Notamacropus eugenii: one gene and its partners. The protein of the gene in region 1 interacts with the protein of each later gene in a biochemical or structural test. Links are inferred from orthologs where the notes say so. Each region holds a gene or a part of one and is shown on either strand. Other genes may lie near its edges.

Region 1 (8,174 bases):
GAAAAGACTAAAAACTGTGAAAAAAAAACTTTTCTGATTAATCTTCTTACATCTGAACTCTCTAGGAGTAATGAAGTTAATTTGAAGTGAAATTCTGAGACCTTAAAGCCCCAATTTCTATTAATTTACGACTCCAGTCAAACTTGAGATAACAGATTTAAATAAGACCACAAACATTTTCTCTACAGGTATTTCTATTCATTCGCTACTTCTGACTTGTGACTCCAACTTTAGCTTTTCAAGTAGTAAAAGCTGCTAACCAAGAAGAAAAGTCGGTCGAACTTTTTATACCAGAAGATAAGTAAGTCATCAGCAAAATACATTATAATAGAGGTACTTATCTGTAATTAACGTGTGGCCACCGGTGCCACACTAACTAGGAACTTAAGAACTAGATATTGATAAAGAACATTCTTTTAAATTACAAGTGAATGTGTATGGAAATTGAATATTTATGAAGCACAATTGTGATATACTTGAATAAACACCAATGGCTCCCAGTTCAATGGCTCCTAGTTACAAAGTATAGTTTATATTATATATATTATATTATATATATTATATTATATTTTATATTATATATATTATATTATATATAGTTATATATAGTTATATATATAGTTATATAGTACAAAGAATAAAATATTCCTTAAAAGTCCTTTGCAACCTAGCCCCATCTAACCATTTACAATCTTATTTCACACTACTCTCCTTAAAGTAGACTACAGTCCAAGCAAACCAATCTTCTCGCTGTTCTATCACACAAGGAGCCTCATCTCCCTTCTCCAAGCTCTTGCACTCCCTCATCAGAACTCTAGCTACTTTCAAGGCACAGCTTAAGTGCTAACTTCTACTTGAAGCATCTCCTGATCCCCAAGTTACATTTAATGCCATTCTCCAAAATACAGTCTTTAAAAAAAAAATCCAATTTGTATATGCTTATAATGCTAATGTTGTCTCCCTTAGCTAGATGTTTAAGCTCCTTGAGGAAGGGATTTGTTTCATTTTTGTCTTTGCAGTCCCAGGATCTAGCAAATAGCAGACATTTAATAGAGTATCTTTACTATAATGAGACCATGATGGTGCTGTAACTTTTGTTTCAAGCAACAAGGCAAAAATCTTGTTAATTAGCAATATTCATACTCTTCTGTTAATGCAACAGCTGAAATTTAATGGGGAGTGCTAAAGTAAAAACAATAGGTTCAAGATTTGAACATGGTCAAAGGTACCAGAGGCAAAAGGGAAGTAGGAATGTCAAACCAAGTTTAATCCTAACATAGATCTGTTATAAACATGAATGCTGCTGTATTTTAATAATATATCTGAATACAAGTTAAGCTGGAAAACTGTACTATTTCGTACAAAAATCTGACATATTGTAATGACTTTTATATTAAAATTAAAAAGCAATTGCTTAGATAATCCTGAGGATTTATTTTAAAAAAAGGAAAAAATTTAAATATGCAGTAACTTACTGAACTTAAGACCTGATCAATGGAAATGTTAGTACACTACCATTTTTCTCTGAAGGAAAAGGTGCTAATGAATTCCATCAAAGACTGTTACTGAAACAGTAGAAAGGAGAGTGATGTTTAGTTAGGAGATCTGGGTTCAAATCCCTGCCTTTTACCACTCGGACCCATGGGAACTTAGGCAAACAGCTTCTCTTCTCTCTGGGCCTTGGTTTCCTCCTCTGTAATAGAAACTTAGACTACAAACTCTCCAAGCCCCCTTTCCAATCTGTCAGTACAACCAGGATCTTACTCCAAACAATAAAGAAGGCTCCCTTGCTCCCTTCCTGAACTGTCAGTCAGCAAAGCTCCTTTTATCCACAATCAATGGCTTTCCTTCATTGAGAATGTCACCATCTCTGCGAATCTCAGTTTTTTCATCTGTAAGGTGGGGATAACACTTGCCCTACCTACCGCACAAGACTGACATACACTTTCTAAAGTAGTGCAATACAGCCTAATCCCCTAAACTTTCCATAGAGCTATCTCTTCTCGGCCGCCTCCCCATACCCAATTTTTAACTGCTACTACTGCATTTTCCAAGTTCAGGAGCAAGGGTTCTCAAGTTCTCCGGCACTTCTCCTACCAAATCCAAAAACATGAACTTTGTTTATAAAAATCAAAAAAAGGAACTTACAACTCTTGTTCATATCACGTCATACAATAAGCTCTTTTCTTACCGGAACTTAAACCGAACTTCTCTCCCTCGTTACTCTGCCTCCATGCACATACCTTGAAAAGACCCAATTCTTAACCCCTACTCTGCTGGAGTTTCGGTTACCACAGCTTTGCGTTCAGAAACCTCTCTGCCAGGCAGGTGCCGTCTGTTTGTCCCGAGCCCAGCCCAAGGTGCCCGGGCCGGGTCTGCGGGGCCCGGGCGCGGTGCAGGAGGCCGGCCTTGCCGGGCCGGTGCGGCGCCCCGGGAGGAGATGCTCCGCGGAGCCGCAACGTGGCCCCCGGGACACCTGTCAGCGGCCGCAGCGCCTTCAGCTCGCGGCCCGAGGGCTCCGCAGCCTCTCCCGCACTTTCCTCCCCGAGCCGGGCGATGCCCCTTTCAAAGTTCACACACACACGCACGCACACACACGCGCGCCCAGGCTTACAATGAAGCCCCGCCGGGAGCCCCCGTAAGAGCGGGCAGGGGCGGCCGGGCCCCCGGGCCTGCAGGCGGGGGGCGCGCAAGCACTCGGGGGCCGGCTGGGCCCGGCCCTGCAGGATGGGCTGCCAGGAAGGGGCCGCCCGGGGGCGCCCCCTCGTCGCTGCCCGCCCCCGCGGGGCACCCCCTCCCCCGAGCTTCCCCCGTTGCCGGGAAGGTTCCAGCCCCGCGGCCCGAGGGGCGGCGGTGGGGGGAGGGGGAAGCGGCCGGCCCTGCGGCCTGTTGGGGGGAGTTCAGCCCGGGGCCTCGAGTGCGTCTCTCGGCCGGGCCCCCGGCCCCTCGGCCCCGGGCGCGGAGGAGAGACTCACCGGAAAGGCCCGGATCCGCATCTTGGTGTCCTTCCGGCTGCCCGTCCCTTTGCTCAGATTCGACATGGTTCTCCTCCTCCTCCCCTGCTCCTCCTCCTGCTGCTGCTGCTCCGGCGGCGGCGGCGGCTTCAGGTCGCGCTCTGGGGCGCCCGTGTCACATCGAAGGCGGGCGGGCCGGAGAGGCCGGCGGCTCCCGGGATAGGGCGGCGAACGCCGCGGGCTGGGAAAGGGGGAGGGGGACGACGGGGGTGGGGGAGGCGGCCGGACCCCCGCGGCCCCGGCCCCGGCTCCGGCCCCGGCCCCGGCTTCGACTCAGGCGGCTCTGGCTCCGGCTCCGGCCCCGGCCCCGGCCCGGCCCCGGCGGCTGCGGCTCGGCCTTCCCTCGGGGGCTGCGCTGTCGCGGCGGCTCCGCGGGGCTCCCCCTCCCCCCGGCCCGTCACTCGCGGCTAGGCTCCCTCTATCGCGCTCCTCCGCGATGGCGGCGGCGGCGGCGACGGACAAACATCTCACTGCGCAGGCCGAACCTCCGCCTCCTCCTCCTTCTCCTCCTCCGCCTCAGCGAGACAAGATCCGGCCCAGAGGGTGGAGGGGGGAGGGAGGGAGGGAGGAGAGCCAGAGAGTAAGAGAGATTGGGGGAAGGGGGGTAGGGGGTGGGACGGGAGGGGGAGGCGGCCGCAGCGTGGGGGGGAGGGGGAAGAGGGTACGCAGATCTCGCGAGAGCGGCTCGAGGCGGAGCGGGGTACGCCGCTGAGGCGGGCGAGCGGGTTGGGATGAGCCAAGAGAGGAGGAGGGATGGGGGCGGGGGGAGTCGGGGGGAAGTGGGAGGAGCCTATGGGGCGGGGCGGGAAAGGGAAGGGGTTGAGGGCGGGGAGTGGAAAGCTACGTCCTCGAAACTGGAGAGTCCGAGACCAGGTTCGGGGTGGCGGTGCCTCCTGATTGGTGGAGAACTGAACGAGGTCCTGGTCACGTGGAAGTGGGAGTAGTGGCCCTGTTTGTGGTGAGGCGTGAGATCCTCGTTGTGGGCTCTGTTGGGGAGACCGTAGTCCTTGGCGGGGAGGGAGCGTCCCAGCTCTGAGACTGTTTTTCTAGGGCATCCTGGAACAGGATGAACCAGTGGGTGGGAGACAGGAGGACGTACCTGCCCTGCTGTCAGCTTGGTGGGGGTTGGGAGTGGGGGTCAAGCCAGAGCTGCCTTTCCAGGATGAGACGGCCAGGTGACCCCTCCCTGCGGGCTCACCGAGGCAGCGCGCGGCTCCAGGCCCCGGAGTGCGGGGAGCGGTGCTCGGGGCCTGGCGTTGACCGAAAACAAATCGTCTTCAGTTACTGTAGCAAATTGAGTCATGTCAATTTCCTTAACTAAGTGCTAACCAGGCAGACATAGGGGATCGAGTTGTAGACGCACGATGGAAACTACAGTTTAAACTATTGAGATTCTGTTCACAATTACTTATAATCTTTAAAATTAAACATTTTAAATAATTTTTCTTTAGTTAGCTCTTAAGGTTTGGGAATTTTGTCTTGGGGTTTGTTTTTTGGTTATTTTTGGTATCTCATTCAGGAGCTCCACCAGGGTTGATTCGTTGGTTTTACTTTCCAATTATAATCAATTTTGCTTCCTGGTTTTGTTTACTTGCCTAACTGCTCTTAAATTTGCAAAAAGCTCTAGAAAAGGACTATTTAAAGCCCCTCCGAAATTCAGATTTGCACATAGAAAACCTGCCAGTGTTTTCTGCAGCTTGCTTTCCACTTGAAAACATTGTCTTTGGTTCCTTTTGAGATCAGACCTGTTTAGGGAGCTCATGTTTTTTGGAGGATGAAGTTACCTCAGGTTAATGAATTCATTGAGTAACTAAACTACCGGGTGTTGTGCTTTCAACCTTACTTTGTTGACTGGTCTATCGTCATGTTGCAAAAAAATTGTTCTGTTTTATTATTGTTTGTGCTGGTGTTCTTTGCTAATCAAAACAAAGACGAGAAATGAGGATGTTGCTTGAGGCAAGTGTGTAACTACTGAGGCTAAATATAGGTCATCTGAGAACTGGAACAATGAGGTATGATTGGGAGGGGTGCCATGTAAGTATCATAGGCTCTTATGGATCCAAGGAAGAAACTGAGCATACTGATGCTAATTAAGTTTACCTTTTTAGGCCTATTACGTTATACCAGCAATCAGTATTTTGCTATTGACTTTACTGTATGACTTCAGCAGCACACTCCTATTTCATTGGAATGCCTTTAGATCATTAGCACCAAAGTCAAAACTACCTTCCCAGCTACATTGTGCAAGGCTGTTTCTAGAAATTTGCATTTAAATCCAAATTTTGAAAATTGACCCCTACTTTAAATATATTTGGGAATCTCACTATCCAAAGGAAGTATAAAGGAATCCTTTTGTAAAAATGAAGTCACCTAGTTTGTTTTGTAAATCCAGATTTTCATATTTTCTTTCTGCTTAAGCTGGACACAGTTATAGTTCAAAAGACCTTCTGTTGCTTGGGTCTACATATGTATTTTTGGATCTAGAATAACCAAAATAAGTTGTCATAATGGGATAGCTTGTCCTTTCATTCGTAGTAGAAATCCATCACCTTCTCTATATCTGGATTCTTTGCTTTTGGGGCAATGGGAACTACTCTTCAGTACAATTTACGTAAGAGTCTAAGAAGATAATGAATTTGAAGGCTTTTTTCTTCTATAGAAAAGTAGCACATCATCAGATTATTGAAAATGCTTTCTAGTCTTAGTACTTCCTCTTACTCAACCCATTCCTTGACCTCTACATCAAAAGCTTATGGGTGCTGCCTTTTCTGTGTGTAGATTCCTAACCCAGCCGAGAAAGCAGAGCAAGGAGAGTAGCTGCCAAAATCTCACATGCTTGCCAACCTATATTTTTGTTCATTCTGAACATGCACTGACATTGGGAAAATGACAGCCCCGTCTACCAACATATAGAGGACACCCGCAGAATGTGCTGAGTTTCCTAGCTACTTCATCTTTGGTCTTTAAATGTGCAATCTGGGGTTGGAAAAAAGCATGTAAGAGGAAAAGATCCTTGTATCAAACATGTCTACTAAACAACAGAGAGAGAAATCTGTCAGTCTTAAAGATGGTCGGTTAGTGTTTTAAGCCATCTTAATAACCACTTGGCCAATGGCAAGTCTGATTTGATGGGACAGACACTGGTCTTTGTAAGATAACAGAAAAGCTTACAACTTAACCAAAATGAATTGACTTGTAGAGTTCAAAGGGATCAGATAAAAATTCTAGCCCCAACCTTTCAACTCTTAAAACTTCACTTTCATTATCAGCAATGTGGATACTAGTAAAGTTAAGCACCTGCCTGATAATTGTGAGGAAAAAGTGTTTTAAAGCTCTATAGAAATTTGAGTAATCATCTGACTGACTAGAAAACAGTAGCACTCAAGACTAGAGGCCAGGTTTCTTGTCTCTGAATTAGATCACCTTCCACCCTTCTTTCTTGACTATCTCTTTAGTCAGGGCAGCTAGGTGGTGCAGTGGATAGAGCACCAGTGCAGGAATTAGGAGGACCTGAGTTCAAATCTCACCTCAGACACTTGACACTAGCAGTGTGACCTTAGGCAAGTCACTTAACCCCAATAGCCTCATCCTGGGTCATCTCCAGTCATCCTGAAGAATATCTGGTCATTGATTCAGATGGATCTGGAAGAGAAGTGAGGCTGGTGACCTGCACAGCCCTCTCTCACTCAAAACAAAGTCAAGGGCAAGTCATGTCATTATTTCTCTGATGGCATGGTCTTCTTTGGCAACGAAAGACAAACACACACACCTCTTTAGTCATTACAAATAACAGCTAGCATTTACATAGAGAGTGCTTTAAAGTTTTGCAAAGCTCCCTGGGATGTAGGTGCTATTTTTTATCCCTACTTCACAACTGAGGAAACTCAAGGAGAGGTTCAATGACTTGCTCAGGGTCATATAGCTAGGAAGTCTACTGTCACATTTGAACCAAGATATTCCTGACTCATTGTCCATCACTGTATTCACTGTGCCACCAGCTGCTTCAGAAAAAACAGCGTGTGATTAGCTTTTGCATAAACAAAATCAATGCATCCAGACTTAAAAAAAAAAGTCTGAGCAGGGGCGGGGAGAGCCTTTGCATCAAAATCTGATATCTAATATTTATAACAAATAAACATAAACATATAAGACTAGGTGCCATTACCTAATAAATAGTTAAAAGATATGAGCAAATTGTCTTCAAGAGAAATATTGCCAATGTGATAAAATGGAGAGAGTGTTGAATTTGGGGTCAGAGGACATGGGTCACACACCAGGTCTGTCTGTCTGTACTATATGGGTGACTTTAGACAAATCACCACACTTCCTCTACTTCAGCTTTCTCATCTATAAAATGAGTGAGTTGATCTCTAAGGTCCCTTCCAGCTCTTAAATCTAGGATACTAAATAGCATCAACCATATAAAGAAACACACATTTTAAAATCCCAGATTTCACTTCACATCCCCCAAAGTAGCAAAGATGTTAAAAAAAGGAACCCATCAATGACAGGGGCCTATGGGAAGACAGGCAAACGAAGACACTTTTTTTTCTTTTTAAGATATTTCATTGGTGTTTTTTGACATCATTTCTCACTGTTGGTAGAATTGTGAATTAGGCCAACTGTTCAGAAAACAATTTGGAATTAAGAAAAATTGATTAAATTGTTTTTACATTTTGATCTAATAATTTCACACTACTGGGTGTATACACATACACACACATATGTAGATGTATGTGCATACATAGGGGTGTGGGTGTGTGTGTGTATGTGTGTGTGTGTGTGTGTATACACATATATTCCAAGGAAGATAAGAGAAAAAAGCCCTAAAATATATTTATACACATATATCTAAATATTACTATATATGCCTATTCATAGTAGCACTTGTTAATTACTACCCCAATCAATTATAGTTATGCAAGTAGTAAATAGTAAAGTTATTACAGATCTGGTATACTTTTTAAAAAGTTACATTTGAAAAATTTTTGGTTACATTTTAAGTGCCAATCTGTCTTTTTTTCTTTTTTCCCTCCCCCCCCATCCCACACTAGAGAAGGCCACCATTTGAAAAATATTTAATTTATATTTATATGTGTGTATATATACACATAAATACACATATAACTTAGAACCATGCTATGCATACATACTTCTGTA
Region 2 (7,830 bases), on another chromosome or scaffold:
ATTCTTTATATATTATCTCATTTGTTCCTACAGCAAGTACAGTAGCTACTACAGGTATTATTAACACCATTTTACAAATGGGCTCAAAGGAGTTAAATAACTTGCCCACAATGACACAACTAGCAAGTGTAGCAGGCAGGATTCAAACTTAGATGTTCTTAACTCTTGAAGTCCCACACGCTATACCATGTTGTCTTTCCAGTTCAAGCCCCAAATTAGGCAATTAACTTTGCTCTTCCACTGACAGTATGGACCCCTAGCACAGGGGATTCATCTCCTAAAGGCTCTCCTTAGTCAGTGGTATGTCGGTAAATGTTTAACAACCATTTCTCTGGGGGGATGGAGGAAATGTATTCACAACACACTTTTAAATTTAATCTGCATTACTAACATTTTCTCCAGCACTTTCTTAAATCTAGACAATCAACAAAACAATAAATCAAGCCCTCATTTGTATCATTTGCCAATTTCTGAGGTGTAAATGTCATTGCATTGAGTCCAAGCTTGCTCCAACACACCCTGCCTTTAATCCAGTCAGAATACCAAAAGATACCTCTTGCCTAGGTATTATGTCCCTCAGTCACAAAAGAGACCAGTTAAGAATATGAGACCGTCAACACTGAACCATTCTCACTACAAAAAAAAGCCAATTCTTGGAGCACCAATCCTTCTGATGATAAGTCAGTAGTGTCATCTTTCTATACTTTATAAGAATAAAGCAGCATGTATTACTTGGCAAAATACAATTACAGAATTATACAGTAGCTGTCAACAGCGATTCCTATACTAGGAGGCATATAGGTTTTTCATAATTTAAAAGAGCAAATTCTATATAAACACTTGACTTAAGAAAAAGACTACATAAATTAACATCCTACTGAATTGTAATTATGAAGAATGGAAGACTCATCAGTTACAGAAAACCAAGGTGACTACTGCCTCTAACTTAGCCCTCATCACAGGATTAATTTCTGATAACAGTCCAACAGTAAAAGAAAAATTTAATTACAATTTTAAAAGCCTACTTGAGTAATGATGGAGTATAATGGAAATATAAGAGAACCCGTCATATTTCACCATCTTGACTACTTATTTTATCCAGGCTATCAAACAAAACACTATATTCATGTAAATTACAGCTGCAAAAAAACTTTGTAATCTGATTTGGGGGTAGGATCCAGGAAGTGTGTGCGTGACTTTCATTACTATTTTTTAAAACGACGCTGTTAGCCTGGTGCCAGTGGTCATCTTCTTTCAACTTTGATGTTTAGCCTTTGAGTTTAATCACTCAGAAATGCAAGCTTTGTACCAGTGGATCACAGGCTCTGTGACACTGAGAGCATCACTCAGTGCCTCACTGCTTCCTCAAGGAATACATACATGTAGATTTAAAAATACATATAGTGGCCAAACCTTATAACAGAAGAATGTAGTTCATGGATAAATGTTTCAATCAAGAAATAGCAAGAAATTTGGACACAGATTCTTAAAGTCTCCCAGAAATGCAGTTCATATTTCCAGATGAATAAAATGTTAGTGTCAAAACAGGAATTTTTACATAGTTGAGGCTGGCACCTTGCTCCAAAATCCAAATGATGATCTGTGAAGGCACTATATCTTCATTTATTTTCTCTTTAATACAGTAAGATACCAAAAGAAATGCCTTCTTTACAACTATTTTTAATTTTCCCATTAGTTATTGTTTTCCCTCTCCAAAACCAAACCAAAAAGATTTAAGATTAGCTATGTACACATCTAAATAAATAAAATGAAAAAAATCAGCATATGTTCTATAGGCCTTAAAAGTCTTGTGTGCCAAACACATTAAAAGAAAATAATAAAGAGCTGTTGTCCAATTGTGGAAACAAAAAAGTAATATGGGGTTTTCTGCTCTCTAAAGTGCATCATCAAGTGTGGGTGGAGAGAAAGAGAATCTAGAATTAGAAGAACACCAAATCATTCTAGAAATAATTGACAAGGTGTAAATTCCTCATACACAAAGTATTTAGAGCAGACTTTGATTACTAGGCTAGGATGCCATTTAAATCCTTGCAAGGGATAAGGGATCACCCTAACTCCGAAACCTTGAGGTCAGATTTTTTTCAAACGAATAAGTATTCATTATAATCTGAAGCAATTAGGCACTGAGTGATGCTCCCAGAGTGACAGAGCCTATGACCGCTGGTACAAAGCTTGCAGTTCTGAGTCAATTAAAACCCAAGGCTAAACATCAAATTTGAAAGACGGTGACCACCGGCACCAGGCTAATAGTGTCACTTTATAAAATAATAAGGATAGTCACCCAGACACATTAGCTGGGATCATGGGATCATAGTGGAAAAGAATGGGAATGGAAAAAAAAGCCAACATAATATTTGTCACCACATCTCATTTCCTACACAGGATATAGCCAAAGGCTCCAGCCCCATTACCCTAGGCACAGATGTTTATCATTTACTGCAAAGGTGCTGAGAGGCCTTCGGATCCGAGCTCCTGAACACTACAGTTTATGAATAGAGTTGGGGGGGGGGGGTGGTCGAGACTGGAGAATTCATCCACCCCACCCCCCACTGAGGCACGCACCCCAAAGCTCTTACCTGGGGCACATTATCCCAGTAGCTCCAGTTCCCTGACACACACCCAACCCCAAAGGGTCCCGGCCCCCTTTCCCCATCCCCCCACCCCCGCCCAAAGCCTTAGAGTGGGGGCTGGGGGGGTGGTCAGGACAAGGGGGGTGAGGAAAAGGTAAGTTTCCCGAGCACCAGGTGACTAGGCACAACGCTGTCCTCACAGCCACCTCCAGGGTGAACAGTTAGGACCAGCCGTCGACCCATTTCCCCCCCACAGCCGCCCCCCTCAGCTTTACCTCACTACTCCCCCTCCTCACTCCACCCAACTCACAGCTGCTCCCGAGGATCCTCCAGCCCAGCCAGCCAAACCCTTTCTGGAAACGACGGCAGCCCAGAGGGTCCAAACCACCTACCATCTCCGCTCGCGTTCTAGTTCCCTACACCACCGCCGCCGCCTCCTCCTCTTCCAACACCGCAGCCGCCTCCTCCTCATCTGCAACACCACCAGCGGCGGTCGCCCGGAGGCCCCGCCTCCTCCATCTCCTCCTGCATCATCACTTCCGGTAACCCCGCAGCTCTGGGAGGGAGGGCCGAGGGAGCAGGAGGGCAGACTGCGGAGTGACGCACGCAGAAACGTGCGAAGCTGTCGCCAAGTAAGGGCAACGACCCGACCTTCTCACCTCCTCCCCGTCGGGGGCGGGGTGGTGGAGGAGGAAATCGCCTGGGCGGAACTGGACCAAACCACAGCGTGGTTAGGTAGGGGGTGGGGTCAGACGCGAGATGGGTACTGGGAGGAAGAGAAGGAAGGTGAAAAGATCGATCGTATTTTTAGCGGATACGCCGAAAGGTAAATTTCGCGGCGGGTTGAGGTCTGAGACTCAAGCCTCCTCTTGTCTATGAATGATGCTCCCCACCTATGTTTCCTCAGATGGTTCGGTCCCACCTGGCCTAGAGGGCCAGACCCCGGTGTGTCCCCATCGGCTCCGGAGGACTGCCGACACGCCCTCCTCTCCTTCTCCGCACTGTGGGTGGGGGGGCAGGCGTGATGGACACAGCGTGAGTGTTAAGAAGTGAAGGTGGTCTACTCTGGGCGATGGAGATCGCGGTTGGCTCGCTAGGGCTGGAGGCAGGGGAGTGGGGTGGGAGCCGTGGCTTGGTGCCGCGTTGCTAGGATACATGGTGGCGTGTCCTGCCCCTCCCCCTAAAGCCCTCGTGGCCCGTGGGCTCGGGCGGCAGCCATTTCCCCGGGGTCATTTACCTGCGCGGATTTTATCCAACCGCCCTCTGCTGGTGAGGGTGGGGGTGGGGATGCGGGGGTCTCTGGGCCGGGCTCGGACCGCCAGTTATCCTCTTCCTTCTTGGCCTCGTAGCTGCTTGGACGCTAGGGCCTAGGGACGCCTGGGCGAAGGGCCGTGAGCCGCTGCCCTCCGGGAGCGTCCACTCTGCGGAGGCGTCGCTGCGCGGTGCTGTGTATACTGTCTGGCGGGAGTGGTGGGGGCGGGGATGACCCAGTCCGTGAAGGAAATGCGGCGCTGGAGGGATAGCTTGGAGCAGGTTTGGGGGAGCGAGTGGCGCGGGAGCTGAGCCCCATAGGGACAGAGGATTCCCGGGGTGCAGACTGGGAACCATCCCGACGATCCGCCTTCCTGGAGCTTACGGGCCGCGGCGGGGAGGGGGGTGTGGAGCGGTCCTAAGTGACGAGACTGGGAGTTGTGCCGAGTCGCTGAGCCGCTTCGGTCGTGTCCGACCCTTCGGGACCCCTGTTAGGGCTTTGTGGCCGTTTCCTTTCCCAGCTCATTTTATGGAAGAAGAGGCTGAGGTAAAGAGGGTTAAGTGACTCGTCCAGGGCCGCACAGCTAGTAAGTGTCCGAGGCTGGATATGAACTCGGTGCTGCCGGACCCTTGGGAGTGATGGAAGGTGAGGAGCCAAAGAAACCCAAGGCTAGCCAGGGGAGGGTTTGTGAAGGTCACATCGAAGGTATCGTACTGACGGGGGATGGGAGTGCGTCCCAATTGTGTGCAGTTTGGGAAGGACAGTCTCAGCCCTGCCCTCCAGGAGCTCACACCTGGGAAGTGGGGAAGGCAGCAGAGTAGACTTGTGTGTCACAAAATTGGAGGTGGGGGGATGGAGGGCGCCCAATGAAAGAAAGAGTGTTTTAGACCAGGTAAAGGTGTGTGAAGGACCACCTGAATTGAGCCTTGAGGGCAGGGAGAGAAAGAATTCATCTGGTTGGAGAATTACAGTTGGGTGGAATTTGGAAAGTGCTGTCTGTCTCCAAAGGCTGGTCAGGTTGACAAGCATTTGTCAAGCAGGTTTGCTGTGCTAAGTATTGGCAATACAAAGGAAAGAAAAAAAACAGTCCCTTTTCTCAGGAAGCTTGCAGTCTAATCAGGGGAAAATGTTCAAACAAGATATATACAGGATAAACTGGAGATGATGTACAGAGGGAAGGCACCAGCATTAAGGAGGATCAGAACAGGCTTCTTGTGAGATGTTGGGATTTTAGCTGGGACTTTAAAGAAGCCAGGGAAACCAGGAGAGGAGATGAGATGCGATGAGAAGGGAAAGCAATTCCAGGCTTGAGGGACAGCCAGTGAAAACGCACAGTCATGAGGTGGAATGTTTTGTGTGCAAGTAAGTGTAAGAAGACCACTGTGACTGGAGTGGAGTGTATAAAGAGTTGTAAGACTTGTGCATTAGAAAGACACATTTTGATGAACTTCAGTTGGAAGGGGGAGAATGGGAAAAGGAGGAATATTGCAGATTGGAAGAACAATAAGAGGCTGCTAAATAGTGTAATTAAAAAATGAGCACCCTAAAACTAGGATCCTAGAAGCTTAGTACTGTGAGAAGGACTTTGGAGACCATCCAGGCCAGGATGATCTTAACCTTTTTTGTTTCCTTGTACCCCTTTTGGCCATCAGGTGAAACTTGTAGAACCTTTCTCTCATATTTTTAAATGCATATAGTAAAAGATATAAGAATACAAAGGAAACCAATTATGTTGAAATATAATTATGACATTAAAAAAAGTTTAAAAGGGGGGTTAAACCCCTCTAGGGTGACCCCTTCATAAGGAAAATTAGACTTTGAGAGGGGATGTGACTTGCACCACATAGAAAATGAAAGAATCAGAATTTGAACCCAGGTCTTTTGACTACATATCCATAGAAAGGGTGAGTACAGAAGAGGGCATAAATGTGAGGAATGACTAGACAATATTTGGCAACTGATTGGAAATAGAAGATGAAAGAGATGAGAAGGAAAGATTTTTGGGTGACTCATCTTCAAAGGTTTCATTCTTCCAAAGTGACTGGAAGAGTAGGACCACACCAACAAAAATAGTAAAGTTAAGAGCAGGAGCAGTTTTGGGGAGAGAAGATAAGTTCAGTTTTGAGCATATAAAGTTTGAGGGGCCATGGTACAGCACATCCAAGGAGAGACATCCAAAAGGCATTTGTAAAGTATGAGAGCATGTCAAGAAAGTTACTGGTCTGGGTATTTAAGATGGTCTTGGCCAGAACCTTTAATCTGGTTCTCTTCCATCCCTAGTCATGGTTCTAGATCTCTCAAGTAGCTGAAACCAATATATACACTGAGGGAGATTGCAAGATTTCATCCTGTGGGCCTAGTTTAGCAATGGCCACATCGCTATTCCTAGAAGCAGAATAATTTAGTTTATCTGTCAACTAGAAATCAAGGAGCCAGTGCTGTTTTATGGATGTTGCTAAGTGCCTTAATTTTTGATCCTAGCAAAAATTGAAATCCTCCCTGTAGATTGAGAGTAGTGATAACAAGGTCCCAATTTTCCTGTTTGTTGGTGATGTAATGAACCTAAAGGAATAATAGGAAAAGCTATCTGTACTCATTGCTTGCTTCCTCACTCTTCATTCCTTAACTCCTTGGTAAGCTGGTTTCTAACTCCATTTTTGCGTAGTTCCCCTACACAGCCAATTTCTGGAATTCCTAGCTCCCTTCAAGCTTCAACCTGAGAGGCCCCTCTTCTCCAACACTTCCTAATTTTTTCCTCAGTTATAATTGCTCTTCCTTTCACCACTTCATAATTTGTATTTATCTAGAATTCATTTTGTATTTACTTGCTGTGTCTCTGTTATTTCTACTCCATAGAAAGTTCTTTGAAGGCGGGAAGTTTTTTCCTCCTTGTATACCCAGCGTAAGACTATGCCTTGCACATAGTAGGCACTTACATGTTTGTTTAGGGCAAACGTAGCACTTGGCACCTTAGGCCCCATAAAGAGAGAAGGTGACAGAAATCTCTCATTGAACAATTAAATTCAGGCTCATAGCCCACAAGAACAGTGTTGTCCTGTTTGTACCACCTATGACAACACATGAGAGTCCAGGAAAGACAGTTTGGCGTTTCCTGTAGGTCAGAGCACAGCTTATCATGTGGTGATTTATGGTCAGTCTGTATGTGGACATCCTTGTCGTCATGTGGCAGACAGAAATCACTTAAAATGCATTTAGTGAATCAAACATGTTTGGAATTTATAAGCTAATTTAAGGAATCTTTTTGAAATGACAGAAACTGTGTAATACCTTAGCTGTATTAGAAAGTTGAGTTGCATGCTAAAAAAGTCCCAACTCTAGTAATATAACTAAAGGCTTTTTGTCAGTTTCACACTTAACTTTGCTAGACAAATCATTACAAATGAAAGAATTATATTAGTGTTTGTACTTCCCATCTATATTTCCTAGATTTCAGAGAAGGCCTTTCTTATTTGACCAGTATTAATTATATCCTGTTTATTCACAGTACATTTCTTTAGTTCTAAAGCACGTGGATTTGATCTTTAACTTTGGGCTAGCTTTCATCTGTTGGTGGCTAGTTCCATATTCTATTCAGGATAACTGTTCACACCTGACTACTGCCTTTTCTTTCCTGTAATGTGCCATTATGGAAAATAACTACTCCATTTATTTTGAATCTGGGACCCAGGTTCTGTTTTAATGTAAATTTCTCTCTCTGGGAAAATCAACTACTATCCAGGTTACAGTAGCCTGATTGGAGAACTCCCCAATACATGCATAGTCTTGTGTGTGTAATAGAGAAATCCATAACATTTGAAACTGGTACATTTATTTGCTATGATTGAGATGTATCTTTTTGAGAAAATTCCCAGATAATAGTGTCCCCATTTGTATTTCGTGTTTGAGAACTGTTGTAAAGGACTTGTCTTTTTTAAAATTTGAATTAGAAAAGTAAACAGGTGTTTTTTTTCTTGTTTTTTTACATTG
Region 3 (7,950 bases), about 220 Mb from region 1:
AATATCTTTCACCTATGCTCTACTATATGGCCTCCCACAACTCAAACTCTATTTGTTCTACATTATTTTTCTTAGTAAATTTCATCTACAGTACTTAGATTTTATTTCATCAACAAATATTTACCAAGTAGTTCTTTATGCATCACACTATGTTAACAGAAAACAGCATGAATGTACTGAAATAAAAATTATCCCTAGGAATCAAGAGAGATGAATCCTAGTCCCAGATCCACTCCTAAGTAGTCAAATGAACTTAAATTACTTAACCTCTCTGGGTCTTGGTTCCCTAATCTATAAAATGAGTGGGGATGTACTAAAGATATGTAAAGCCCTTGCAGATAAACCTTTCCACAATCAACAGTACTTAGAACTTTTGTCAGTCCTTTGTCTTCCATCTCCCCTCTGGACTTCCATTTGCTTCCCACGCTACAATTAAAGTAACTTTCTTCTGTCATCTCCATACTTTATGTTATGCTAGTTTTATGAATGGAACAAAAAAATGTAAAATTAATTAAGTCATTCCTATCACTTAATTACCTTAAGACTATCTTTTTGGAAGCCCGGCTTATTAAGGCTAAGTAAACAATTAAAATTACTAATCAATTCAACGGTGAAAGCAGCGGGTCTCCTTACCTACCATTGGTGAAAAGGAAACATTCAGCCTACTAAATATATTAATAGAGAAAAAAGATACTTTTTTAAAACAAAAGACAGTGCCTGTTTTTATCCAGCCTCAAGCTAGCACACATACTATACTTGAAAAATTAACAATAACTATAATTTCATTTTATTTTCTTCTTGCCTGTTTTCTCCTCAAACTGATCTTCAGTAGATGGCCCCCAAAGTAAGAGCTTCTACAATGACCGTACACGACAAATGTAATCCAAATACCTTTTAACATTTTAAGGACTGCCGATGTTGTTGTTGGCTTTAAGAAACAAATGCGAACCTACTAGACCTAGTCTGACATTCCCGGACGAAGATACGCTAACTTTAACGCAAAGGAGTCCCCGCGTTAGAACCGCAGGTGGATCCTCCGAGGAGCAAAGCTGCCAGCCACAGGAGGAGAAATCCCGCAAGTCAGAAAAGCCGCCGTGCATTCTGGGAGTCGTCTCCACAGCTACCCACGTGCATCCAACCCAACCGTGTTTTGGCACAGCCAAGACTACAGCTCCCATGATGCCTGCAGAACCCACCTTTCCCTTCAAACCCCGTGGCTGCAACTAGAGCCTAAAGTATAGCCCTAAAATTCCTCCGCCCTTCACCGAAAAAGGCACGAGGCTATTCCGGCCTCAGAGGGGGCCCTACGGCCAGTCAGGTCATGGGAAATCCAGCCCCATTAAACATTAGAAAATGCGTCACAAGTCGAAGACCTCCCGGGACCCAGAAACTGCCCCGCCACGAAAGCAGCCTGCCCAATTGCCCCCCGCCCCCCGGGGCCGTCACCGCCTCTCCTGGGTTCCCTCCTCCCCAGCCCCCCGCAAGCCTCATCCTTCCTCCTCTCCCGCATTACCCTAGGTCACAGAGAGTTGGACCCCTCCCCCGGCCGGGGGCCGTCCCTCTTCACCCCACCTCTTCTCGGGGCATCACCTCAGCTCTCCCATTGGCATGCCTGGGTGCTGCCGACCCTGGCCCGGCCTCCAGCTGGGCCAGCTGCCGGGGTCACCAGGCCCCTAGGGCGTGGGGGAGGGGAGGATAGGGGAGGGAACCCCTCCCACCCACTCCCAAAGACCGGGCCGGAGAGGCCAAGTTCGATCCCGTACACCGAACTGGGAACACCCCCCTAGTCATTCTCGACGACCCCCTCCCGCCTTGCTACCCCAACCCCACGTACCCCTCTACCACCCAACAAACCAACCCTTCCCCTCCTCCATACAGTTCCCGTCCAGCTCCTCAGCTTCCCCATCCCCCCCCCATCCCCAACCTTCTTCTCTCCCCTGCCTCCCTCAGTGGTCCAGCCTCTCCCCACCCAACACACCACACCACCACCACCCCCCATTCCCCAGGCTGCTTCCCCATCCCCCATCATACCGTTCTTCCCTAGAACCCCGCCCCCTCGTGCCGTTCTCCGAGTCAGTCCTGCCCCTTCCTACCGTTCGAACCCTCCCCACACAGTCCCCCGGTCCCCATCCCTACATTGTTCCCCCTCCCCCTCATATTGTTCTGTCCAAACCTCGACCCTCCCCACGCAGATGCCCAAACTCCTCAAGCTATCTTGCCCCATTCCCCTCTCTTATTATCTTAACCACACAACACACAAACTTCAGCACTCCCACCCCCCTACCCAGAGTCCCCCCTACCCAGACTCCTTCTGCTGTCGAGCCCCTCCCCTTCCTAGGGTCCCCCCTACCCAGACCCCTTCTGCTGTCCCCCCCAACTCGCTGATTTTATCTATCCCTCACCCTTCAACACCCCCACCCGCATATTTTGCCTTCCCCAACACACCACCCTCATTCGCCCCCCACACAGGTGTCCTCAAGCCATCCGTCCCAATACCTTCCTCCTCCTCCCCTTTATTACCCACAGGCTCCACCCCTCGCCCCCGTTAAGGTCCTCAGCCCCCAGCCCCATTCTCGAGCCCCATTACTGCCCTCCTCCACCAGCACCACTCCCCACAAGCTACCCTCTCCAGGAGCACAGTACCTCCCCTCCCGGCCTTAATGCCCCGCTGTCATCCCCGCCGGGTCCCCTTTACTCCCGCACCTGGCCCCCCAACTCCCCAAAGAAAGCCAGCCCCTCCCCCTCCCCTGGCGCCCTCGCCCTCCCACCCCCATCGCCTGGATGCCGGCCTGGGCGCGCCCTCCCCCCCTCCACCGGACTACCCGCAGCGTCACGGCGGGCAGTCCCCCGTGAGAGGGCCAGGAACCCGGGAGGCAGTTACGGAGGTGGTGGGGCAGAGGGCTCCGTCGGTGTGGGAGGGGAACGGCTGGGGCCGGCGGAAGGTGCGGGGGTCCGTCTCCAAGACCGGGCGGCGTCGGTCCGCCCCCTGTCCGCGAAGCTCGTCACCCGCTCCCGGCCCGTTACTCACTGACAGCGGCAGCATCCGAGTGCATTTTCGTGCAGCTCCTCCACTGCTCCCGCCGGCCCGGCCTCAGCTCTCCGCCTCCCGAAGCCCCCGCCGGCTCCAGCAGCTCCGGCTCCTGGCAGGGTACCCGCCGTGGCCTCAGAGCCCGCCCCCCGCCTGCCCACCTCGCCTCCACCATTGGCTTTCCGACAGGCCCGGACCGCCCCCTCTGCCACCATTGGTGGATGGTCGAGGCGAGGGGCCGCTAGATGGCGTCCGAGGAAGGAGAGTAGGCCCCACCCCTCAGACCCAGGGCTATTGGCCCCTGCGACCGGTCCTCGCCCCAGCCCCCGCCGGAGGCTTCCTGCGCCACTAGCCGGTTGGACCCGGCGGCTGTCAATCAGCCCAGGGGCTCCGAAAGCGCGTGTAAAGGGGCAAGGCTTGGGGGACAGGTTGCAGTAGTCCCCTCCCCCGGGTCCCCAGGCTAGGGATTGGTGGAGAAACAGGCAGCACACGGAGAGGGGCTGGCCTCCGAGACAAAGCCCAAGAAACTGTCCCAAAAGAGCCAGGAGGGGCGGGGGCCATTAGGACCGCCCCCTCCCCTCGGCCTGAAAGGGATGGGAAGACGCGAGTCAATTCCGTTTTATCTGAAAACTCAGCTCCTGGCCTTATTCCCTCTGTCCATCCCGGGCTCCTTCCACCCCCTACCCACCACCCCGCCCTGTCCAGTCCTCTGCCCAGCCTTTTGCCCTGGGGGCGCCTTGGAATCTGGGCTCGGACCTCTCCCGGAGACCTGCAGCTGCCCCCGGGCAGAGCCGGCAGTTCTCGGTGGGCATTGCTCTTCCCAGGGCCAGGCGGAGGGCCCTCTTAAGAGCCCCGAGTCTGAAAAGCTGTGGTTTCCCGTTTGTCCCCGAAGTCTCAGACCTCATCACGAGACAAATCTGTCTTCTCCCGAATGCGTGGCACACAGTAGGCACTTAATAAATGCTTGTTGGTATGACCTTACTATTACCTCTAGAACCAAGCATATCCTCCATTGTTGGAGATTTTAAAACCCTTGACAACCCTGCCTTTCTAGCAGGGGAGGGTCCGGGAGAGTCCTGTCTGACTGGCCTTCGGGTTGTTCAGCATACCCAAGCATGCATCGCTCCTCGAAGGTGTGGATGCCCACCAGCGGCTAGTGTTTTCCCTCCAAAACTAAAGTGTCAATTTTGAACCCATAAGAGGTTGGGAATGAGCATGCACTTGGTTAAGTTCCCCGACAAGTACTCGAACCTCTCATTCAGGGTGCTGGATGTAAGTAGGTTCTGTCTCCTACAGTGCTGGACTGTGAGCTCCGGGGGGCAAGCAATATCTCAGGTTTAGCTTTGTGTCCCCAGCGCCTAGCAGGGTACTGGATGTAGAGTAAGCCTAACAAAGGTTCGGTTGATTTTCTTGTCTCCCGACTCAGATCTGGCAGCCGGGTGGCCCAGAATGTCGAGCCTGCAGTCAGGATGACCTGAGTTCAAATACAACCTCAGGCACTAGCAGTGTGACCCTGAGCAAGTCACTTAACCTCTGCCTGCTTCAGCGCCCCCCACTGTAAAAGAGGGATAAACTCTGTAAAAGGGATAGGCTCTGTAAAAGAGCCTAACTTGAAATAAGACTTGTAAAGCCCTATCCCGTTTGCTGTTCAGTCGCATCTGACTCTTCCAGACCTGGTGGAGCACCGAGAGCCAGGCCCTTCTGGACTCCACCATCTCTCCAAGTCTGTCCAAGTTCATGTTCCTTGCTTCTACGACACAATCCATCCAATTCATCCACTGCCATTCCCTTCTCCTTTTGCCTTCAATCTTTCTCAGCATCAGTCTTTTCCAATGAAATCTGTCTTCTCATTAGGTGGCCAAAGTGTTTAAGCTTCAGCTTTGTTATGTGTCCTTCGAATGATGAGTCAGAGTTAATTTCTCTAAGTATTGATGGAATTTATCTTCTTGCCATCCAAGGAACTCTCAAAAGTCTTCTCCAGCACAATTCGAGAGCACTGATTCTGAGTAGTTCTGAGTTTTCTTTTATAGTCCAGCTCTCACAGCCATGCATGAGTACTGTAAAAATCATAGCTTTGACTATGTAAACTTTTGTCTCCACTTTTTCCTGTCCAGATTTGCCATAGATTTCCTTCCAAGGAGCAAGGAAGTGTCTTTTAATTCCATGGCTGCAGTCACTTTTTTATTTAAGATTTACATTTTTAGTTTTAGTTTTCAACACATTTACACAAGCTTTGGAGTTCCAAATTTTCTCCCTATCTTTCCCCTCCCTCCCCCCAAGATGGCATGCATTCTGATTACCACTCTGCCCTCCCTTTTATCATCCTCCCCTCTTATCCCCTTCCCCTTTACTTTCTTGAAGGGCAAGATAGATTTCTATACCCCATTGCCTGTATGTCTTATTTCTCAGTTGCATGTAAAAACAATTACAATTAAACTTTTGTTTTTAAGACTTTGAGTTCCAAATTCTTTCCCTTCTTTCCTTTTCACCCATCCCCATTGAGAAGGCAAGCAATTCAATATAGATTATACATGTGTAGTTATGCAAAACTCCTCCATAATAGTCATGTTGTGAAAGGCTAAACTATTTCTCTCCATCCTATCCCACTCCCTAATTATTCTATTTTCTCCTTTAACCCTGGTACCTTTTCTAAACTGTTTGCTTCTGACTAGCCCCCCACCTCCCTTCTATCATTCCCCCCTAATTTTTCCTGTAGGGTAAGATACTTAATTGAGTGTGTATATTATTCCCTCCTTAAGTCAAATCTGATGAGAGTAAGGTTCACTCATTCCTCCTCACCTCCCCCCTTTTCTCCTGCATTGTGAAACCTTTTTCTTTCCTCTTTTATGTGAGATAATTTACCCCCCATTCTATCTCTCCCTTTCTCCTCCCAATATATTCCTCTCATCCCATAATTTTATTTTTAGATATTATCCTTTCATATTCAATTCACCCTGTGTCACCTGTCTACCTATCTGTTTCCTCCAACTACCCTAATACTGAGAAAGGTCTCATGAGTTACAAATATCTTTCCATGTAGGAATGTAAATAGTTCAGCTTTAATAAGTCTCTTATGATTTCTCTTTCCTGTTTACCTTTTCATGCTTCTCTTGATTCTTGTATTTAACAGTCAACATTTCTATTCAGCTCTGGTCTTTTCATCAAGAATGCTTGAAAGTCCTCTATTTCATTGAAAATCCATTTTTTCCCCTGAAGAATTATACTCACTTTAACTGGGTACATGATTCTTGGTTTTAATCCTAGCTCCTCTGACTTCCAGAGTACCACATTCCAAGCCCTTCAATCCCTTAATGTAGAAGCTGCTAGATTTTATGTTATCCTGATTATATTTCCACAATATTCAAATTATTTCCTTCTGGCTGCTTGCAATATTTTCTCCTTGATCTGGGAACTCTGGAATTTGGCTACAGTATTTCTAGGAGTTTTCCTTTTAGGATCTCTTTCCAGAAGTGATGAGTAGATTCTTTCCATTTCTATTTTACCCTCTAATTCTAGAATATCAGGGCATGACAATTTCTTGAAAGATGATGTCTAGGCTCTTTCAAGTAGTCCAGTAATTTTTAAATTGTCTCTCCTGGATCTACTTTCCAGGTCAGTGGTTTTTCCAATGAGATATTTCATGTTGTCCTCTACTTTTTCATTCTTTTGGTTCTGTTTTATAATTTCTTGACTTCTCATAAAGTCATTAGCTCCCATTTGCTCCATTCTAATTTTGAAGGAATTATTTTCTTCAGTGAACTTTTGGACCTTCTTTTCCATTTGTCCAATTCTGCTTTTTAACATATTCTCCTCATTGGCTTTTTAAACGTCTTTTGCCATTTGGGTTCATCAATTTTTTAAGGTGTCAATTTCCTAAGTATTTTTTGAGTCTCCTTTAGAAAACTGTTGACTTATTCTTCATAATTTTCTTGCATCACTCATTTCTCTTCCTGAACTTTTCTCTACTTCTCTTACTTGATTTTCAAAATCTTTTTTGAGCTCTTCCATGGCCTAAGACAAATTCATATTCCAGGAGGCTTTTGATGTAGGAGCTTTGACCCTGCTATCCTCTTCTGATTGTATGCCCTGATCTTTCTCATCACTAAAGTAAGATTCTATGGTCTGAGGTCTTTTATGATGTTTATTCATCTTCCTAGCCAAACATTTGATTTTCCTCTGTCAAGGTAGGACTCTTCTTCCCGTGGGGGCGGGTGTACTGTCCCAGGCTTTAGGGATTTTGCATCAGCCTGCTCGATCCCCCACCATCTGTGGACCCAGAGTTCCAGAAGCAGTTACCATGGCCCTGCCACCACCCCCAACCACCCTGGGGCTGCAACTGGAAGGGTCAAGCCAGAAGACGTGCTTCTTTTTCACCCAGGTCCCACAGAGTTTTCCCACTGACCTTTATAGCATTTGTGGATTGAGAAGTCTGAAAACTGCCATAGTTGCCAATGATTCAGTCCCCAAAGACCTGCTCTGGCCTGTCTGTGCCCATGTGGCCCACATTGTACTACACTCTGCTGCTCCCTGTCCAGTGCGAAAGATCCTTCCTGTCAACAGACTGCCTTTGACTGGGTATTTGTTTCACTCTGTCATTTTGTGGGTTCTGTAGCTCTAGAATTTGTTTATAGTAATTTTTTTTACAGGTATTTAGAGGGCTTTAGGGGAGAGCTCAAGGAATTTTTTGTTTTTACTCTGCCATCTTGGCTCCACCCTATAGTCACTTTCTGCAGTGATTTAGTCACTGCATATAAAATTTGACACCATCTATTTCTTCTGTTTGCCAGGAAGTAATGGGATCAGATGCCATGATCTTAGGTTTTGGGGGTTTTTTGTTTTTATGTTAAGCTTCAAGCAAGCTTTTACATGATCTTCTTTTGCCCTCACCAAGAGTCTTCTTAATTCTTCTTCAGTTTCTGCCA
Region 4 (7,986 bases), on another chromosome or scaffold:
CAAAGTAGGTGGGATCCCGGTCTATGAGATATGCCCCTGTTTCATCCTAGGGGCCAGAAAGATGTGATGAGGAAAGTAACTGTCCTCCCTCCCACTTCCAGGACTCTCCATCTCCCTCTGCCCCCTGAAAATGCTATTAAAAAGTGACATGATCGAAGGCACACTCATATATATGCTCACACACATACACACACACACACACACATTCACATGCTATCAGACTCACACGTGGGCACACACACACTCTCTCTCATGGGCACACACAAACAAACCACATACACACATACACACACACGTAATTGCACCACTGTGGTACAGCGGGAAGTCAAATTCAATCCTAATTCACTTCCTTACCACAGGCAAATCATGTCTCTGGGGCTCAGCAGCCTTATTTGTCAAATGGAGAACATGGTCTAGATAATTTCTAAGGTCCTTTTTCTGTAATAGCCTAGCCTAGACTAGGTCTCTGCACAGAGTTTGTCTCAGTTATCCATCTGTAGAGTCTAGTCAGCAAACATTTTTAAATGTCTCCTCTGTGCCAGACACTGTGCTAAGTACTGAGGATACAAAGGCAAAGGACAAACTGCCCTCAAGGAACTCTCCATCTGGTGGAGGAGATAACACGCCAACAGCTAGGTACAAACAAGTTCTAGACAGCACAAATTGGAGCTTATCATAGAGGAAAGACACTGGCATTGAGGATGCCCAGGAAAGACCTCTTCTAGAAGATGAGAGTAAGAAACCAGGGAATGGAGGCCAGGAGACTGAGCATTGCAGGTGTGAGGGATAGCCAGAGAAAATAGTCAGAGTCAGATGGAAGGATTATACTGGATTGCACAATGGGGAGTAAAGTGCAAGTAGAATGGAAAGATGGGTAGGGGTCCAAACATGAAGGACTCTAAAAGCCAAATGAAGGCTTCTCATTTGATCCTGGAAATAATAGGAAGCCACTGCAATTTATTGACTGGGGGCTGGGGGGGCAGTACGTGGTCAGACCTAGACTTTAGGAAGGTCCATTTGACATTTGAATGGCAGATAGACTGAAGTGAGAAGAGACTTGAGCCAGATACCAAGTAGCAGGCTACTACCATAGTCCAGAAGTGGAGTGATGAGGGCTTGGACTAGTGTGGTGGCAATGTCAGAATAGAAAAGGGGATACATATAAGAGTAAAAGAGTCTAGGATAATATTTTTCCCTGGGAGGTCCAGGGAAGGCATAAGTATTGAAATTGGGGTCTTGAAAGGGACCTTAGAACTCACTGATTCCAGACCCCTCATTTTACAGATGAAGGAAACTGAGGCCAGTATGTGACTTGCCCAAGATCACAAATACATGAAAGAGGCAGGATTCAAAGCCAGTGCCCTTTTCTATAACTTCCATTCTCAGAGGAAATGATACCCTTCCTGATACCCTGTATTTGTAGTTTGCCTTTACTTACCTACATACTCCTTTCTATAGAGCCCAGAGGTGGAGATACAGGAGGCATTTCACATTTAAGCCTTAGTTAAAGCCTAAAACCACACTAAGACTTTTGGTACTCCCTGTATTTCCATTTTACAGAGGAGGAAACAGAAACATAGAGGTTGAGTGACTTGCCCAAGGTCACAGCAATGATCATCTACTTTGCCTGGACTGCAGCCCGGATGTTCTGATGCCTCCTGCTCCCGGGTTCTTTCCACTGTCTCCTTCTAGGGCAGACGTGGTTTAGAATTCCTGGCTCTGCTACTAATTATCCGTGTAATCTTAGGCAAGTCACTTTCCCAAGGGAGGACTCAGTTTCCACTTCTGTAAAACTGAGAGAGATAGGTGGACTGGATGATCTGATCAGAACTGGAAGGGACCTCAGAGGTCACTGAGTGCAATCCGCTCCAGACTGGGAAGGTGAGGTCCAGGCAGATTAAGTGACTGGAATAGGGATCACACCCGTAGCTACCCTCCGAGGTGGAACTGGAACTCAGGACCCCCGACTCCTGCGCTAATGCTCTTTAAAGATTCCTTCCTGATTCGGATCCCATCACTGAAGTCTTCCTTACTCCATCTTTTGCCCGAGATCTCCTGTAGCAGCTCACTGGCCCAGGCTGACTCCTCCTCCGCATCCCTCCCCCCTGCAAAAACTGGGGAGAACCAAGCTCAGACACTTGCGAGTTGGTAGGTGTTTGGCAAGGCCAAAAAGGGACCCAAGCGCACCCCCGCCCCTTCCCACATGCACTTACTCACTTTTTCTCTCAGAACCTTCCCCACTCAACAGCTCTGGGGGAGAGGAGGTGAGGGGGGGGGGGGGGGCGGGAGGTTGGCGGAGGGAGGAAAGGAGGAAGGAAACAGCTTGAAGAGGAATGAGCTGCTTTCTCCCAAATGGTCTGGGGCCTCCTGCCAGGGACAGGGTTGCCATGGAGAAGGAAATAGCATGCCACTCCCCCCAAACCCCCACCCCAGCCCCCAGCCCTGGCTTCCTAACGATTCCCCGCCTCCGGTTTCAAGTGAAGAGGAAGGGAGGAGGGGTTATGTTATTGTCCTGGGCCGGTGGGTGGGTGGCAAGGGGAGAAGGGGGGCTCCCAGCTGTGGGCTGCGGAGGCAGAAAGGAGGCGCCTCTCCCAAACACACACACACACACACACACACACACACACACACACACACACACACACACACACACACACACACTCGTTCGCCTGAGCACACTCACAGAGGCGCGCCCCCACAGCGAGCAGCGCCCGGACCCGCAGCCCCGCTGGCCCAGCCTTACCCGGTCAGACTGGAGCTCCTCCCCTTGGCAGAGACGGCTGAGGAAAGACTTCTGCTCGCGGCATAGCGTCTGCCTGGTGGTCAGAAAGATCGTGCCCCCCACGTTGAGCCTGACCCACTTGCCCCAGCTGCCCGGGGCACGGGCTGCGGTTCCCCCAACGCCCGGGCCGGTCGCGGGGACAAGTGGCGGCGCGTGGGGCCCCCGGTCCCGCTCCGCCGCCTGCACTTCCCCACCCGCTTCCATCCTCATCTCTCTGCGCTCCTCTTCTGTATCCCTCCCCCTGCAGTCCAAGTGGAGGAGCCCTGGGCAGGTGTTGGGCGCTGGAGGATGCTGGGAGCTGTAGTTTGCTGGAGGCACAGAGCGAGGGGGGCTGAATTAGCTGGGCTTGGGGGGAGGTGGGACCTGGAAGTGGAGAGAGGAGGGATGCCCAAGAGGACCTCATCCATGTGGTGTCCTTGCCTTACCCGCCTCATCCAGTTTTGTCCATTCTAGAGTCGAGGTCTTCATGCCTGACTCTTGGCCATCCTGGCTGTGATGGATACTTGCCAGCCAAACCCCCACCTCATCTGGGCCTCAAAGTCAAGCCCTCTCTAGGCTGATCTTTACACTGAGGCCCTGAAGTCTTCCCTAAAGGCTAAACCTTTCTCCCCCACCAAAAAAAAAAAAAAAATCTCCCTAAGGAAGTATTCCTTTACACTCATCCTCCCACTTAATTTAGCAAGCTACTCTTTTGGTTTCACCATTATCTTAAATACACACAAGCGCGCACACACACGCACACACACATACAACATTGCATCGATGGCATCAGTGGAATTTTTTAATTTGGCTGAAGCGCTTCTACTTTCCCCCAGCCAAGTAGGCAGCAAATCACCTTCAGGCCATACCAGGGAAAGATTGGATGGAATCCTCAACTTCTGTGCCAGGCAGCTTCTGGCAAGTAAAGACAGAGATGACATCATAGAAGGAAAGAGCTAGAAAGGACATTTTTAGAAACAATATAAGATGATAAAATGTTAAAACTGGCAGGAGCCTTAACACAGAGAATGGTAGATTCACTTCAGGGCATTTTAAAAGGTAAAAAATTGGAATCTTCTCTGGAGCAGCTTGGAGTCATGGAGGAAGAGCCTGACGCTCTTATGCTGGTGCTAGACCATTTCATTACATCATGGTGGTTGAGCTGTGCATTTTTGGAAGGAGAGCAAAGAAGAGGGTCAGAATTTCCTGAGACTCCAGCCTCCAAAAAGAATGGTATCTTAGGTATAAGGTGATCAGCTTGATTTGTCCAGTGGTATTGGGTTTCACACCAAAGAAAAATGTATTTCTCTCTTCTGTTTAAGTTATTGAAATTCTGTATGAGACATTGAAAAGGAAACGTTATATAGTTCTTCAGAGCCATTATGATCTCCAAAGGAAAGAAGTATGATACACTGCTGAGGTGTTTTGAGGTGCATCAGAAGTGTACCAAGTCATGGATCATTTTAACATGTTCTCGAAGTACCATGGCATTGAAGGAAATTTGGTGACCAGTCCAATCTTAACAACTCACTAGGGAAGCAATTTGAAACTATCTAAAGGTATGAGGTGATGAAACCGTACTAATCCTTCATGTAAAAGCTGCACAAAAGTTTTATGGAAATGAAAAAAGGGGGTTTTGTTCTCCTCGTTGTGTATATCTTACGGGCAATGGATGGAAGGGAAAAAAAAGACCAAATGGAACATGATGGTTCTTCTGAACACGAATCTCAACCATGTGCATTTATTGGAGCAGGAACTAGGGACCACAAAATGCAGTAGCTGAATTTGGAAGGGAAGAATTATTGCACAATCAAAATACTATATGTATCTGATTTAGACAAGTGAAAGCATTTCATGTCATCTGTAAAGATATTCAATGGCAGAGGTGAGGAACTTGTGGTTTCAAGGCCCCATGTGGCCTTCTAGGTCCTCCAATGTGACCCTATGACTGAATCAAACTTCACAGAACAAATCCCCTTCATAAAAGGATGTGGTCTACAAAACTTGGACTCAGTCAAAAGGCTGCACCCAAGGACCTAGAAGACCATAGGTAGCCTCAAGGTCAAAGGCTCCCCACCTCTGCTCTATGACAACAGTGAGGACATTGGTGAGCTCCTCAGTAAACAGATCAAAATCATCTCCAATGCTTGTAAAAAAAAAAAAAAGGATTAATCATTGAAAAATGCTGGCTTATGCATAACTTCAGGAACAAAAGTGTCTTTATTTAGTTGACTTCGATCACAAACAGCACCAGGTATTTACACATAGAAAGAGGGAATTTCCATGCTACCTCGTAATAGTGGGGAGAATTTTATATTCACCTTTCGGATGATAATGAATCAGAAGGAGAAAAATTCACAGTGAGAGGAGCCTATATCTTTAGGGATAGACTGTCAGACTTGTGTGTTCAGTTACAGGCATGGCACTCCCAAGGCTGATGATTCCAAAAGTTGATGAACAGACCACAATGCTAGATGCAGATGATCCGATGTCACAGCTACATAAATGTTCATCTTTTCTTAAGGATACAGAAAGAATGTATTTGTGCCTTTCCAAAGAGACAATAATCCAATTTCAAGCTACCCCATGCCTCCCAAAAACCAAATAAAGAAATGAGAAATGTTGGAGCTTTGTGGACAATCCTTAGTACAAATAAGACAGAATGCACATTGTATGAGGGAGTAGGACCTGTCCATGTTCCAGTAACACCTATGAGATAGTCTTCAATTGAATGGTGGTGCTAGAACTTACAGGACAGAATTTCACTCCAAATTTACACATCTGGCTTGGGGTTGTGGAAGCTAAAACTATGTACATATGTGCAGAGAACATGCTTTATGTTGTCCAGACATTTCTGCCTTCCCAGAAGACTGGAGGTGGGTTTGTCAGCTTGTCCAGGTCCTAGTAACTGTGGTTGGTAATGACGAAATAATCTATTCTACCAGCCTGACCTTTACAATGCAGCAGAAGCAATCCTTCAAGTCACTTCAAGTCTAATGGCCACTAAGGAATTAAACACAAAGGGTGAGGGAAGTCATGCAAATATCAGTTACACTAAACAATGTGACATCATCTACAGCAACAGTCATCTCCTAACTTCTGTGGTCGCCTCAGACTTATCCTGACCTCCAGTGCTGCAAAGGAGAAAATGGAACAAGCTTTTGTGGCTGCTTGGGAAAACTACCCATTCTGATCAATCCTCTTTGAGCCCTGTTACTATAAGTGCTGATTTAGAAAAGCAGAAGCCACAATAAAGAAGTCAAAAAATTAAAATATTAGACTAGAAGAGACATTAAAACAATGCTGTTCATCCTTCATTTTCAAAGAGGACCAATGATATCACAGGCAATGCTTTGACTTGTGCATGAATTGGATTTAATCAACTGACAACTTTTCAAAACTCTGTCTCACTTAAATTCAATTCACGCACAAGTCAAGTAAGTTAAGGGAGGCAGAATTTCCCAAAATCATTGGCCTTACTATGTCTTCCTGAGTCATGGAAGTCTAGTGGCACGATAAAAGTCACGATGACTGTTGATGGCCCAGGATTCATTGGATGACCTTGGTGTCTTCGATGTCTGACCAAGTTCCAAGCACTTCACAGTGCCTTCCAAAAAAGTAACAGGTTATCTGGCTGCCCTCAACGAGTACAACTTAAAAGGTGTTTTTTTTTTTTTACAGAATCAGCAGTTAATGTCAGTGATTAAAGGACGATAGAGGGTACACATGACACCATAGGACTGGAGAAAACACAGAAGATGTGCTAAAAACAACAACATAATAATAACATAATATTAGTTTTGGAAGGAACTTGACAACATAAGAGATAGACGAAAGGAACCTTAGAACAAAATGTCACAGCTGGGAGGCACTTTAGAAGAGAAGATGTTCTAATTTTAAAAAATCTAATGATATTCTAATGTCTAATAAAATATGACACTTATAAGAAGCCTTAGAATATAGAATTTTATAGCATAGAATGTAAGAGTGGGAAGAAGCCATAGAACAGACCACCAATATTGAAAAATTTACTTCACAAAGTAAACGCAGGATGCACAAATTTGGGAAATCCACCCCAAATATTCACATGGACTATCTGTGGTAGAGCATTGCGAGCTCATATTGGTCTGATCAGCCACAGTCGGACACACTGAAATTTCACTTTATCATGGTGATGTCATTTTGGTCCTCTTCAAGAATGAAGAACAACAACCAATATTGAAAAGGACCTTTGAATGCTGAAGATTTGAACACAAACTATCCCTGAAAGGGACCTTAAAACAGAGAATGACACAACATAGAATGATAGAGTTGAAGAAACCTTGGAAAACAGGATCTTAAATCTGGAAGGGACCTTGGAATAACCTGCAATGTCAGCCTTGGAAAGAACTTTAAAATGTAGAAAGTTTGACCTGGAAGGGACCTGAGAACTCCTGAGGATATCAGAATGTGTAAGTGACATCCAGAGCGACCTGTTCATTTTGCAGATCCAAAGTGGCACCATGGTCTATGGTGGAAAAAACACAGGCTTCACAGTCAGAAGACTGACCTGTTGGTTTAATTGGCCCAATTGTTTAATAACTTTATAGCCATAAGCAATTTCCTTATCCTCTCTGCCTCTGCCTCTCTGCCTCTCTCCTCTTCATCAGTGGGTATAGTACTATACCTTTCTGGGCTTCGCTGAAGAAAGCCCTATTGAAAAATGAGCCATCGTTATCTCTGTGGTTTCATCCATCTCAGAATCTGATGGGAAGCTATGAAAAACTGAGACAAAGGTCAGATGACCTACCCCCTGGCTCACATAGCTATTAAGTGACTCTGCAGGAACTGGTACCCAGGTGTTTGGATTCCAGCTCCCAGGCTCTTTCCTCTACATGAGCTGCTTCTTTAGGGAAGAGAGCAAAGAATTGCCAGAGAGTCTTCATTCATTCTAGCAATAGCAACCTCCTCCTCAGACCTGTTTCAATACCCTGGAAGAATCTTTTCTTCTAACTGTGAAAATATCTGGTGGGGGAAGAAATAAGAGGATATTAATAGCTAACATTTACAGAGTGTGTTAGAGGTTACAAAGCACAGATGTAATCTTTTTTTATCCTTCCAATAATCCTGGATGGGAGGTACCATTCTTATACCCATTTTACAGATGAAGGAATTGTGACTGAAATTAAGTGACTTCACCAGGACCACACAACTAGCAAGTGTCTGGTAGGATTTGAAGGCAGGAC

Evidence for each region.
Region 2: the proteins of CUL3 (region 1) and DCUN1D3 form a complex in vitro, tested with the Homo sapiens proteins (3 studies listed by BioGRID, with this or other methods). The link is inferred for Notamacropus eugenii from reciprocal best matches to the Homo sapiens genes CUL3 and DCUN1D3.
Region 3: the proteins of CUL3 (region 1) and DCUN1D4 form a complex in vitro, tested with the Homo sapiens proteins (2 studies listed by BioGRID, with this or other methods). The link is inferred for Notamacropus eugenii from reciprocal best matches to the Homo sapiens genes CUL3 and DCUN1D4.
Region 4: the proteins of CUL3 (region 1) and KCTD17 form a complex in vitro, tested with the Homo sapiens proteins (3 studies listed by BioGRID). The link is inferred for Notamacropus eugenii from reciprocal best matches to the Homo sapiens genes CUL3 and KCTD17.

Annotation. Positions count from the first base shown.
Region 1 is NC_092877.1:323,403,344-323,411,517, forward strand, and holds the start of CUL3 (cullin-3), read right to left. Parts: upstream 3,203-8,174; 5' UTR 3,042-3,202; coding exon 2,976-3,041; intron 1-2,975. UniProt on the Homo sapiens protein: Core component of multiple cullin-RING-based BCR (BTB-CUL3-RBX1) E3 ubiquitin-protein ligase complexes which mediate the ubiquitination and subsequent proteasomal degradation of target proteins.
Region 2 is NC_092874.1:398,218,935-398,226,764, reverse strand, and holds the start of DCUN1D3 (DCN1-like protein 3), read right to left. Parts: upstream 3,083-7,830; 5' UTR 2,984-3,082; intron 2,968-2,983; exon of another isoform or gene 2,902-2,967; intron 2,624-2,901; exon of another isoform or gene 1-2,623. Other genes in the region: LYRM1 (LYR motif-containing protein 1), read left to right, coding at 3,471-3,626. UniProt on the Homo sapiens protein: Contributes to the neddylation of all cullins by transferring NEDD8 from N-terminally acetylated NEDD8-conjugating E2s enzyme to different cullin C-terminal domain-RBX complexes and may play a role in the cell cycle progression by regulating the SCF ubiquitin E3 ligase complex, after UV damage.
Region 3 is NC_092877.1:103,461,391-103,469,340, reverse strand, and holds the start of DCUN1D4 (DCN1-like protein 4), read right to left. Parts: upstream 3,266-7,950; 5' UTR 3,204-3,265; coding exon 3,029-3,203; intron 1,774-3,028; exon of another isoform or gene 902-1,773; coding exon of another isoform or gene 892-901; intron 1-891. UniProt on the Homo sapiens protein: Contributes to the neddylation of all cullins by transferring NEDD8 from N-terminally acetylated NEDD8-conjugating E2s enzyme to different cullin C-terminal domain-RBX complexes which are necessary for the activation of cullin-RING E3 ubiquitin ligases (CRLs).
Region 4 is NC_092874.1:294,156,376-294,164,361, reverse strand, and holds the start of KCTD17 (BTB/POZ domain-containing protein KCTD17), read right to left. Parts: upstream 3,118-7,986; 5' UTR 2,993-3,117; coding exon 2,744-2,992; intron 47-2,743; coding exon 1-46. UniProt on the Homo sapiens protein: Substrate-adapter for CUL3-RING ubiquitin ligase complexes which mediates the ubiquitination and subsequent proteasomal degradation of TCHP, a protein involved in ciliogenesis down-regulation.